Linked DNA regions of Xenopus tropicalis. The protein of the gene in region 2 purifies or fractionates together with the protein of the main gene of each other region. This does not show direct contact. Links are inferred from orthologs where the notes say so. Each region holds a gene or a part of one and is shown on either strand. Other genes may lie near its edges.

The links.
Region 1: the proteins of tgfbr2 (region 2) and smurf2 purify together in Homo sapiens (affinity purification with western blotting; 3 studies listed by BioGRID). This does not show direct contact. The link is inferred for Xenopus tropicalis from reciprocal best matches to the Homo sapiens genes TGFBR2 and SMURF2.
Region 3: the proteins of tgfbr2 (region 2) and eng purify together in Homo sapiens (affinity purification with western blotting; 3 studies listed by BioGRID). This does not show direct contact. The link is inferred for Xenopus tropicalis from reciprocal best matches to the Homo sapiens genes TGFBR2 and ENG.

The regions. Positions count from the first base shown.
Region 1 is NC_030686.2:51,425,933-51,429,685, reverse strand, and holds the start of smurf2 (E3 ubiquitin-protein ligase SMURF2), read right to left. Parts: upstream 2,666-3,753; 5' UTR 2,426-2,665; coding exon 2,374-2,425; intron 1-2,373. UniProt on the Homo sapiens protein: E3 ubiquitin-protein ligase which accepts ubiquitin from an E2 ubiquitin-conjugating enzyme in the form of a thioester and then directly transfers the ubiquitin to targeted substrates.
Region 2 is NC_030682.2:49,107,042-49,110,694, reverse strand, and holds part of tgfbr2 (TGF-beta receptor type-2), read right to left. Parts: coding exon 3,500-3,653; intron 2,308-3,499; coding exon 1,499-2,307; intron 1,146-1,498; coding exon 1,004-1,145; intron 182-1,003; coding exon 54-181; intron 1-53. UniProt on the Homo sapiens protein: Transmembrane serine/threonine kinase forming with the TGF-beta type I serine/threonine kinase receptor, TGFBR1, the non-promiscuous receptor for the TGF-beta cytokines TGFB1, TGFB2 and TGFB3.
Region 3 is NC_030684.2:24,489,747-24,493,499, reverse strand, and holds the start of eng (endoglin), read right to left. Parts: upstream 2,192-3,753; 5' UTR 1,854-2,191; coding exon 1,799-1,853; intron 1-1,798. UniProt on the Homo sapiens protein: Vascular endothelium glycoprotein that plays an important role in the regulation of angiogenesis. Required for normal structure and integrity of adult vasculature. Regulates the migration of vascular endothelial cells.

The DNA of each region.
Region 1 (3,753 bases), on a different chromosome or scaffold from region 2:
GCTACGCCGGTCTGTCAGGGGGGAAACCTGGGGCTACGCCGGTCTGTCAGGGGGGAAACCTGGGGGCTACGCCGGTCTGTCAGGGGGGAAACCTGGGGCTACGCCGGTCTGTCAGGGGGGAAACCTGGGGCTACGCCGGTCTGTCAGGGGGGAAACCTGGGGCTACGCCGGTCTGTCAGGGGCGAAACCTGGGGCTACGCCGGTCTGTCAGGGGGGAAACCTGGGGCTACGCCGGTCTGTCAGGGGGGAAACCTGGGGCTACGCCGGTCTGTCAGGGGCGAAACCTGGGGCTACGCCGGTCTGTCAGGGGGGAAACCTGGGGCTACGCCGGTCTGTCAGGGGGGAAACCTGGGGCTACGCCGGTCTGTCAGGGGGGAAACCTGGGGCTACGCCGGTCTGTCAGGGGGGAAACCTGGGGCTACGCCGGTCTGTCAGGGGCGAAACCTGGGGCTACGCCGGTCTGTCAGGGGCGAAACCTGGGGCTACGCCGGTCTGTCAGGGGGGAAACCTGGGGCTACGCCGGTCTGTCAGGGGCGAAACCTGGGGCTACGCCGGTCTGTCAGGGGCGAAACCTGGGGCTACGCCGGTCTGTCAGGGGCGAAACCTGGGGCTACGCCGGTCTGTCAGGGGGGAAACCTGGGGCTACGCCGGTCTGTCAGGGGGACATGGGCCTATGGGCACAACTCTATGGCTTCTGTATGTTTGCCTATAGGCACAACTCTATGGCATCTGTATGTCTGCCTATGGGCACAACTCTATGGCTTCTGTATGTCTGCCTATGGGCACAACTCTATGGTATCTGTATGTCTGCCTATGGGCACAACTCTATGGTATCTGTATGTCTGCCTATAGGCACAACTCTATGGCATCTGTATGTCTGCCTATGGGCACAACTCTATGGTATCTGTATGTCTGCCTATAGGCACAACTCTATGGCTTCTGTATGTCTGCCTATAGGCACAATTCTATGGCTTCTGTATGTCTGCCTATGGGCACAACTCTATGGTATCTGTATGTCTGCCTATGGGCACAACTCTATGGTTTCTGTATAAATGCTCAGAAGGAAACTGCCAGTGTGAATGACTCCATAAGAAACCATGATTCATATTCCATGTACTCTCTCACACTCAGCTGCACTTGTACTGACAATGCAGGGCACCTAGGCCAGAGGCCCACATATTGTGAAACTACATCTCCCAGCATTCAGTGTGAGCAAAAGGCAACCCGAACAACAGGGTTCACAATTAAAGGACAATGCCAGACAAGGCCAATACTCACTACCATGGATGCCACTGTAAATCTCTGCATGCCAAGCCATTGTGGGCATTTCCTATGGTTAGAGTGGGTACCCATGATTGCTTTTAATACCAGCCCCCCTGTAGTCAGTGAGGAAAGGGGGGCCCATATGGTAAGGACTTAGTAATACTGCTTTTTGAATGCCTAGGCAACCAGCTGTTAAAGAACTACAAATCCCAGCATCCTCTTCAAAGATGAGTTAAAGGGCAAATAAGGTCCAGCCAGAGTTCCAGTAGCCAAGGGTGGCAGTGCCCAGGGCAGATCCATTACATACCCCAATGACCACTCCAGATTTCACGCAAAATACAGTAAAATGCCATTAAAGGACTAAAACTTATTTCACAATCGAGATGCAACTCAGACACATTGGGGCTGAGGAGCCATGTTGGTACCTTGAGCAGGGGCAGAATCCAAAGAGCAGCAATCCTAGTTGCCCCAAATGCACATTAGCCCAGAAAGGGGATTGCGAAGCCTTGAAGGAAGATGGTTGCAGCCCCCAGGCCTGGCCGATAGGGGAGGGGTTGGGCATTTGGGGTTTATTTTAGGGTTCCTGGCGCCCCCACAAGCCTACACAAGTGACTTCTTCCCTCTAATAAGTACCCCCTATACAGGGGCAAGTGGCGCAGGAATCAGGCACATACATGAGCTAACTGCCCCATACAGGGGTACAAGCGCCAGACTCATATAAACTCTATTAATTAGGTCTCGTTATTGCCCTGTAATTAGGGGGCGCACTCACAGCCTGGGCAGGACCCCAATAAGCACAGGGTGTGACCCCAGAAGCACCCAGGGCCCCAAACCAACTAGTTACCCCCACCTAGGGCAAGTAATCCTGCCTCAAAGGGCAATTGCTCAGCTCCAGGCCAAGCCAGAGGGGCCCCTGGGCTCAATGGAACATGCAGGTTAGGCCTGAGGGGTAACTAACGGCAGGAAGTAGCTGGGGTGAATATTACCCTACTTGCCCCCGGAACTCATGACAAACGCACGGAATGCTGGGAAGCACCGGGCCCAACTTGTTGTTGTGATCCCTCCCACCCTGAGCCTTCTGCCCCACGCAGGGGTATCGGGCCTACTCACCGGTCAGTCGCAGCTTCACCGGCCCGTTCCGCCGGGATCCCTGGTTAGACATGGCCCCGGGGAGTCCCACAGCAAGGCTAGGCCCGGGCCGCGGCCTGGAGTACGGAGGGAGGGCGGGAGAGTCAGGCGGACTGTGGGGGCCCCGAGTTACCGACTAGCGCCATCAGCCTGGGGCAGAGCGGAGACAGCACTGAGCCACACGGGCCGGGGGAGCCACTCACAGCCCGGGGAGGAGGCACCGGGGAACAGGGGCGGGGCACAGGCGGGAATGGGGCGGAGACACGGACACTTGTGGGAGGAGACTGCAAGTAGCGGGAGGCAGGAATGTGGGCGGGGCCGGACACTGTGAGCGACGCACAGTCTGAGACTCACCATTACCCAGAGTTCCTCACTGAGAGACACTCACTGAGAGACACTCACACCATTACCCAGAGTCACTCACTGAGAGACACTCACTGAGAGACACTCACTGAGAGACACTCACACCATTACCCAGAGTTCCTCACTGAGAGACACTCACACCATTACCCAGAGTCACTCACTGAGAGACACTCACACCATTACCCAGAGTTCCTCACTGAGAGACACTCACTGAGAGACACTCACTGAGAGACAGTCACACCATTACCCAGAGTCACTCACTGAGAGACACTCACACCATTACCCAGAGTTCCTCACTGAGAGACACTCACACCATTACCCAGAGTTCCTCACTGAGAGACACTCACACCATTACCCAGAGTTCCTCACTGAGAGACACTCACACCATTACCCAGAGTTCCTCACTGAGAGACACTCACTGAGAGACAGTCACAACCATTACCCAGAGTTCCTCACTGAGAGACACTCACCCCATTACCCAGAGTTCCTCACTGAGAGACACTCACTGAGAGACACTCACACCATTACCCAGAGACACTCACTGAGAGACAGTCACACCATTACCCAGAGTTCCTCACTGAGAGACACTCACACCATTACCCAGAGTTCCTCACTGAGAGACACTCACTGGGAGACAGTCACACCATTACCCAGAGTTCCTCACTGAGAGACACTCACCCCATTACCCAGAGTTCCTCACTGAGAGACACTCACCCCATTACCCAGAGTCACTCACTGAGAGACACTCACTGAGAGACACTCACACCATTACCCAGAGTCACTCACTGAGAGACACTCACTGAGAGACACTCACACCATTACCCAGAGTCACTCACTGAGAGACACTCACTGAGAGACAGTCACACCATTACCCAGAGTTCCTCACTGAGAGACACTCACACCATTACCCAGAGTCACTCACTGAGAGACAGTCACACCATTACCCAGAGTCACTCACTGAGAGACAGTCACACCATTACCCAGAGTCACTCACTGAGA
Region 2 (3,653 bases):
AGGATTGTGAAAAGAAAAAAAACAGATAAAATATATAACACGGTGTGTGCTACCTGATGGCTAAGCCAGCTGTTGGAGATTTCAGGTCTCCCTCTATCCCTCAATACATTGTCCTTCATGCTTTCAACACATGGGTGCTCCCGCACTTTTGTGCCAAATGGAGGCTCGTAGTCCTTTACATCTGCAGTGATAAAAAAAAAAAAACAATTAAGTCAACTTTTACTAGGCCTATTGGCAGTTTCCCATCTAGGCATTAATTTATCAAGGTTTGAATTCAAATTTTTACTGTGATTTTGCATAAAAACTCCCAAATTCAAATTATGGTTAAAAAACTCAAATGTAAAACTTCAAATTCATGTAGAATTCAGTGGGAGTCCTATGAAAAATGTGTATGCGTTTTTTTTCAGATTTTTTAGACCCATTAAAAGATGATGGGAAGAAAATACATTTGATGCATTCAAGTTTTTTTCCCATGGTTTAATTTGATTGAGTTTTTTGTATTTCAATTTCTAAATAAATAAGCATTTGAGTTTTCTAAAATGTCAAGTTTATTTCAATTGAAAAAACCTCTTGTTTGATTTGTGATAAATAAGCCTCCTAATGTTTTGTTCATTATTAGCATGAGATTTGCTTGTTTTCAGATTAGATAAATACCTGTTAATCTATGTACAACACCTACCTGGTTCCAGGGAAATGCCTTCAATTTTAGGGTAACTGGGTGTATATATTATTTTACAAATCTACTTTAGTGTAGTTGGGGTAAAAACAGGTTTAAACAATATGTTTGTGTAGCTCTCACTTATATGGTATAACCATCCAATGGACCAACTCTGGTGGCAAGGCTAGACTGTATATAATGGACAGTTAGGATTTCCATAATGAACATTATTCTCCCTGCCTCTTGCACACACAATACATGCCTACCTGCTGTTTCAGCTAAAAAAAATCATTAATACGTTAATATGGACCTATATCTTAATATCATTAGAAAAAATATAATTACCTCCAATGGCATTGCAGCGGGATGTGATTTCCCAAAGGACAAGCGCCATTGAATAAACATCAGTTTGCTTAAATGATTCTATGTTCTCCAGATTGATTCTAGACTCTAGAACCTCTGGAGCCATATACCTAGCAGTTCCGACCTGTGAAAAGGAAAAATGAAATCAATTAAAACCAAATCAAAGTTGTCCCAATACTGATAAAATGTCTATTGCTGCTTTATTTGACACCAATATTACTGCAAACGGCTTATTATTGTCTAAATTAATATATAACACTTGCATGAAATATAAGGAAAGCTAAAAGTAATTTAATAGTGCGCAGGGCTCTAAATAAATACTAAACATTCTTTGAGAACACTCAATGAATGCTGCAAAACATTTAGTTATAACGTCAGCAATAAATATTGTCATTTCTACACAAGAAAAAGCAAATGATTAATAGTCCGTAACGCAGCAGTGCTAGTCATGTGCACATCACACAAAATTTGTCTAACCTGGCCACTGTTTGCAAGATCATCCACTGAAAGTGAAGGTTCAAGCCAAAGAGACAGACCGAAGTCACACAAGCAACATGTGAGATCATTTTTAACCAAAATATTTGAGCTCTTAATGTCGCGGTGAACAATTGGTGTCTTTGGTCTGCCACAGGGTGTGTGATCACTGTGCAAATGAGCAACGCCACGGGCCAAAGAGCCTCCAAGCTTCATAAGGTCTTCCCAGCTGATGATATGCTTGGATAAATATTCTTGTAGATTGCCTTTAGAGTGGAAAGCAGTGATGAGCCAATACTGTTTGCCAGTGTCAGTTTTCCTCTCTTCTGCTGTCAGGAACTGCAGTACGTTCTCATGTTTCAGATTCATGTCAGAAAAAATATCTTTTTCCATCTTCCAGGATGCATATTCTTCAAAATGGAAAATTTTGACAGCCACTGTTTCATACTGTTCTGATGTATTTTGTTTTAGCTTGGCCTTGTACACTTCAGCAAATCGACCTTTCCCAACCAAAGTGTCTAATTCAATTGGGAGAAGCTCAGTATTGTGGTTTAGGTTGTTGGCACATGTTGAACTGATGTCAGAACGATCATCGTCTATCATAATCGCACAGGCATCGCTGCAGTCCATATCGGGATGGCGCATGCACTTTGGATTCTTTTCCCATTTCTTTTTCAGTTTCTTTGTTCTCTGAACACGGTAGAAGTAGAAGCCGACGATGACTGCAATGGTGATCCAGACCAGTGGAAGAAGAGTGATGAGAAGAACTTTCAGGAGTATGTCTTTAGATGGGTCTATATTTGTCTCATTTGCTAAAAACAAAAAAACATTTTAGTTTCAAGGGCAAACAAGCATGTGGAACACAAACTCACCATTAGGTATCATTGCAATCAGAGACACCGCTGGTGTGTGTGGTTAGAACATTTGATGCTGGAGTCCTGTTATTATGACTGTGTCACATAGCTACTCTATTTGGATAAATGCAGTAAACACATTCCCTCACTGTAGTAAAAAGTGGCCGCATATACATTATACTAAGGGTATAGTAAAACAGACACAATAAAATTAATGTCACAATTTAATGAATATATAGAACATATAGAATGAACTTTTATTAAGGATCGGCAAACTGTGAGGGATCCAACCAAATTAACAGGAAACTAGGAAGAGGCTGATGGAAGCCAAGCTCTCATAGGATTATTTAAGACATTACATGTACACAAAAAAATTCTCATTACATTTTATTTATGGAGAATCTGTATATTGCTTAGAGTTGTATATGGGGAAGTTAACCAAAATTACATCTCTGAAAAGCTCAGACAAATGGTACAGTGAAGAGCATCCTAATGGCAAGGGTGATGCCATTCAATTTCCCAGGTACCATTTCTATGGTATTCATTCACATATAATACAGAAAGGTACATAACCACAATAAAAAAACAGTCAGTGATAACAGTCAGTTATCGCAAAATGTTACTATACCCATGAACTTCTAAAAAGCATTGATACGCTTGTATGGCTAATAGGACAAATGGGAGGGAAGTGCAGCCTACTTTAACTTCCAGGTCTGCCAGTGCCACACAGAGAAGCCAGGCAGCCACAAACTACAGTACATTTTCGTTCCACACAGATTCATTACAATTTGTGTTTTCCTTGTGGGATGCCCATATGTTCCAATATAAATATTGGGTGAAATTGCTGCATATGTATTTATGTGCATGGCCACCCCTATTTGCTGATCTCAAGATCTGAATCAGAACAAATGAGTCACGCCAACTGCGTTCTAACCAAGAAAGCAGACATAGGCTGGCCTTTTCTGTTGTGCAGTAATCACAACTTTGCAAATCAGGAGGAAATCAAGGGACAAAAGGGCACATATATAAAAATAGGAAAAGTGATGGAGAGGTAAAGTATAAGCAGTTTGCTAAAATAAACAGATACATTATCAACAGCAACAGAAACACCAAAAGGCCATAATATAAAAATAATCAAGTAATAAATTACCTGGAGGAAAAAAAAACCTCTCAGTACAAAGTTTTCCTCTACACGAACACATGGACATTATTCCCTCACTTGTCTTTTTCTCCTTCATGATGCACTCTTTCTCATTATAGTCATCCAGTTTATAGCCATACAGTTCCTTTTTTGGGTCATGACA
Region 3 (3,753 bases), on a different chromosome or scaffold from region 2:
TTTTTAGCCAATTAATCTGGACTGACTGATGTATATATGGTTTGCCCCAGAATATACTTTATGTGAACATGGCCCTGTAAACCTCCTGCGCTCTTTTCCTATCCTTCATTGATAGTTTGTTGTGAGACTCCAGTTTGTTATTACGTAATGGCAAAGAACTTTTAATTATAATATATCTCTTTCCTAATGGCATCTGCAGAGGATAACTATGAGAACTTATGGAAACTGTACAGTGCAGTATTCTCAGCAATTCCTTATAGATTTATGTGGCGTGCAAGGTTTTGAGTAATTTGGTTCATTTGACGTCCTCCTGCACCTATATCTAAGGGGTCTGTCATGCAGATAGGATAGGATATTTCACATACATACTTACATACATATGAAATAATAAAAGTCAATAATCCTTCTGATCCAGCTCCCCCATACAGAGACTAGTATTGTTCCATTTTTTCCATGACATACTTTGGATGTTCTTACATGATACATTCCAAGTAGCAAATCCAGGGGGTGTAATAAATTAGAAGAACTTAATTTAGAGGATGTGGGACATATTTCTGGGCCTTGAGAAAACCCCCCTTTTTGGTGCTTACAACATTAGAAATTTTTTGTGCTAGCCTTTTAAGGAACCAATGATTTAAAACCCTCCCAGCTCAGTCTATAGAGAAATTCCGATATGCAGAGAATGTAGCCATTAATACTCCACAGCTGGATTACCTAAACCATTGCCTAAAAGCTGTCGCTGAAGTCTGAGCAACCCCAACCAAAGGTTGGCTTAGAATTCTGGGACTTGTAGTTTAACAAGTACAGGCTGATCATCCTTGCATTAGAGACTTATAGCTGAAAACTGTTCTACATATATTTTAAAATAATACAAATTTTTCCAAAGCTTATTTGGCAAGCATACAGTTTCAAGCATAAATGGATAAAATAATTACAGTAGTAATTATTAGTAGTAAAGGTGTCATGCTGTTTTTTACACAGGAAATGGATATGCTTTTATCATGTGATAAAAAAAATGTGTAGCTCAAGTGTCTAGTTCCTGTTATTTCACTGGTATTAGCTCCTATGTTGTACATTGGTCATCTGTGTTTGGGGTCCGCTGTAGGTCAAGGGTATGCTATGGAAAGCAGCTGAAATGTTGTAGAACTACAAAACCCAGCACACCCTTGGAATACCTTAATTATTTCAAATTATTTCAGCTAGTGTTTCTTTTAAACCTTTTCTAGTATCTTCTTTGGGAAATATTGTTTCTAAATTTAAAAATTAAATGATAACATTGCCCAAATTTAACAGGTAGTCAATATATTAATGATCAAATGAAATAATTTTATGATATAAATAGGCGAACCAAGATGGGGTTTGGATTCAAATTCATAAATTGTTTCAGGATTGGGCCAAATTCAGTCTAAACCAAAAACATAGGTGCATCTGTAGATTCACAAAACAAGTGGAGGACAGAAAGGTGGCTGTGAACTAGAGCCCCAGGTATCCATGTCCCAACAGCTAGAGAAGATAGCACTAAAAGAACTTCTCCACCTCTGTGTTCTAAGAAGTAAAAGAACCATTTCGCATTGTTTCTTTCCTAGCAAAGGGGTTCATTTTTGCTTTTTGCAGTTGGATGCAACAAAGAGTGTGAGAACAACAGACACAAAAGAGCTGGCAGCTGAAATCAACTTGCCTTTGAAAGAACACCTACCTTTCTAAGGTGAAATTAAAGAAGTAACTACAAAAACACAGAGTGGTCTTATATCTTGAAATCAACCACAGAGGATTGTTATTCACTTGAACAGAGACTTACTTGAGTGTCCCATGATGTGGCAGAGAACAAAGATCATTAGCTGTAATGCTCTCATCCTGTTGAATCTGTTCTTCCCGTTTCTACGGAACTTCTTAGCCTGTGTCCAGTGGTGCAGGCTTAGAATAAGCTCCCTGCAAGAGGCAGAGTGGTGTCACAGCTGGGAGGAGAGGCACAGGGTAGAGCGGAATAAAATAGCCACAGAAATCCAGATTTTGTTCCTCGTGAAAGGACTGACTAGTTATAGAGAGAAGGAGAGAAGGAGAGACAGTCAGACAGTTGAAAAGGAAGTCTGTAAGATAGTAATTGAGGAAGAGACAAATGTCCACATTGCTCCACGCTGCACAGATACAGCACTATAAGCCCTCTGCAGGAAGCTGATGGGACGGAGGGAGGTCTTATACAGCTGTAGATCACTGGCCCAGAAGGAAATGCCTTTTACACAAGTTAAAGTACAAAAAAAAAAAAAAACATTCTCTAAGGAACCCACATACCAGAATATGGGCCAAACAAACAGACCCCCCTCCTCCCTCCATGCACACGTCCAGCAGGAAGAATGATTTTAACTGTATGAATGCCATATCAACTTTATGGTGATGTCCAACTTCAATGAGGACATTGAATACAGCTTCTTTGCATGCCTGTGATATGAAAATCTAATTGCAAGCATCTCTTAAGCATGCTTCTCTTAATGCTTTGTGTAATACGAATGTGCTACATAAATATATAATAAAAAATGCCACTAAAGCAACTGGTATCCATAATACCAAACATCAATTGAAAATTCTGTCCTTGACATCAAATGATTTCATGTATTGTAGATTCAGTGGGAATGGTGTCTCTGAATATTCTCATTCATCCAGGTCATGATATCCAGTATCTAGTAGAGTTTTTCTGAGTGGGAATGGTCTTTAACACACAAACTTTGCCTTTGGTGTTATGAGGATAGAAGGGTTATGGAATGTTTTCTCTGTATTTGTATATTTGGTTGTATAATTTACTGGAGGCCCTTGGGTTGGATGCAACCCTCCAAGGGATGGAAACAACCTGCTCAAAAGTTCTTACAGATATCGTTGTGTGACATCGACATCTAATAATCGTCATTTATGAGCCCTGCTTGCAAGATTTCATTGGGTATAAAAAGAGATACCACTACCAAAGAAATCAAGATAACCTGCTTGGCCAACGAATCGTGGGTTGTGGGGGGGTCTCACAGCCTACTTTTTCCCGGTGCCTTGGCCAGGTCCTGGATGCCCTTCCGCTTGGTGTCTGGGAATTTCATCTCGTTTCCCAAAAATCTAAACGACTGGAACACTATGAAAAGGCAGTTTTATGATGTAAGTGGCATTCCCAATGTGTTGGGTGCAATTGATTGCACCCATGTGGCGTTAAACCCCACCCAAGACAGGGAGCATATATTCAGGAACAGGAAGAGCTACCACTCCCTGAATGTACAAGTGGTGTGTGATGCACATATGAACATTCTGAGCATCGTGTTGACTTTCAGTGGGGAAATTCAACCTGCTGCCATTCTCACAGCATTAAAGGAGACATATTGGATAAATTGGAAAACCCTAATTTTGTAGGCAATTATGAATAATATACGGTGCTGGTTTCCCTTTGGGCTAAAAATTAATCCTATCTGTAACAATGGCCCCTTTATTGGAGCTCCCTATAGATCGTATCACTTCTCTGTCCGAGTCTGAAATGGAGAGTGGGCGTGTCCTAACGGTCCCTGCCAGAAGCACCGTAGGAGGGGAGAGCCAATCACAGCCCTGCAGTCACACAAGCACAGACAGGCTTCAGTTCCCTATCAGGTCAGCCTAGCTGCTGATTGGTTCTTATCTTATAGTGCAGTGTATGGAGGGCCGCCGGCTCCCCAGCTCATCCAGAGAATTCAGCCAGCAGGAAGTGGAACAGATGGGCGGGGCTAGTGGGGTTTTGGTGGAATTTCTCAA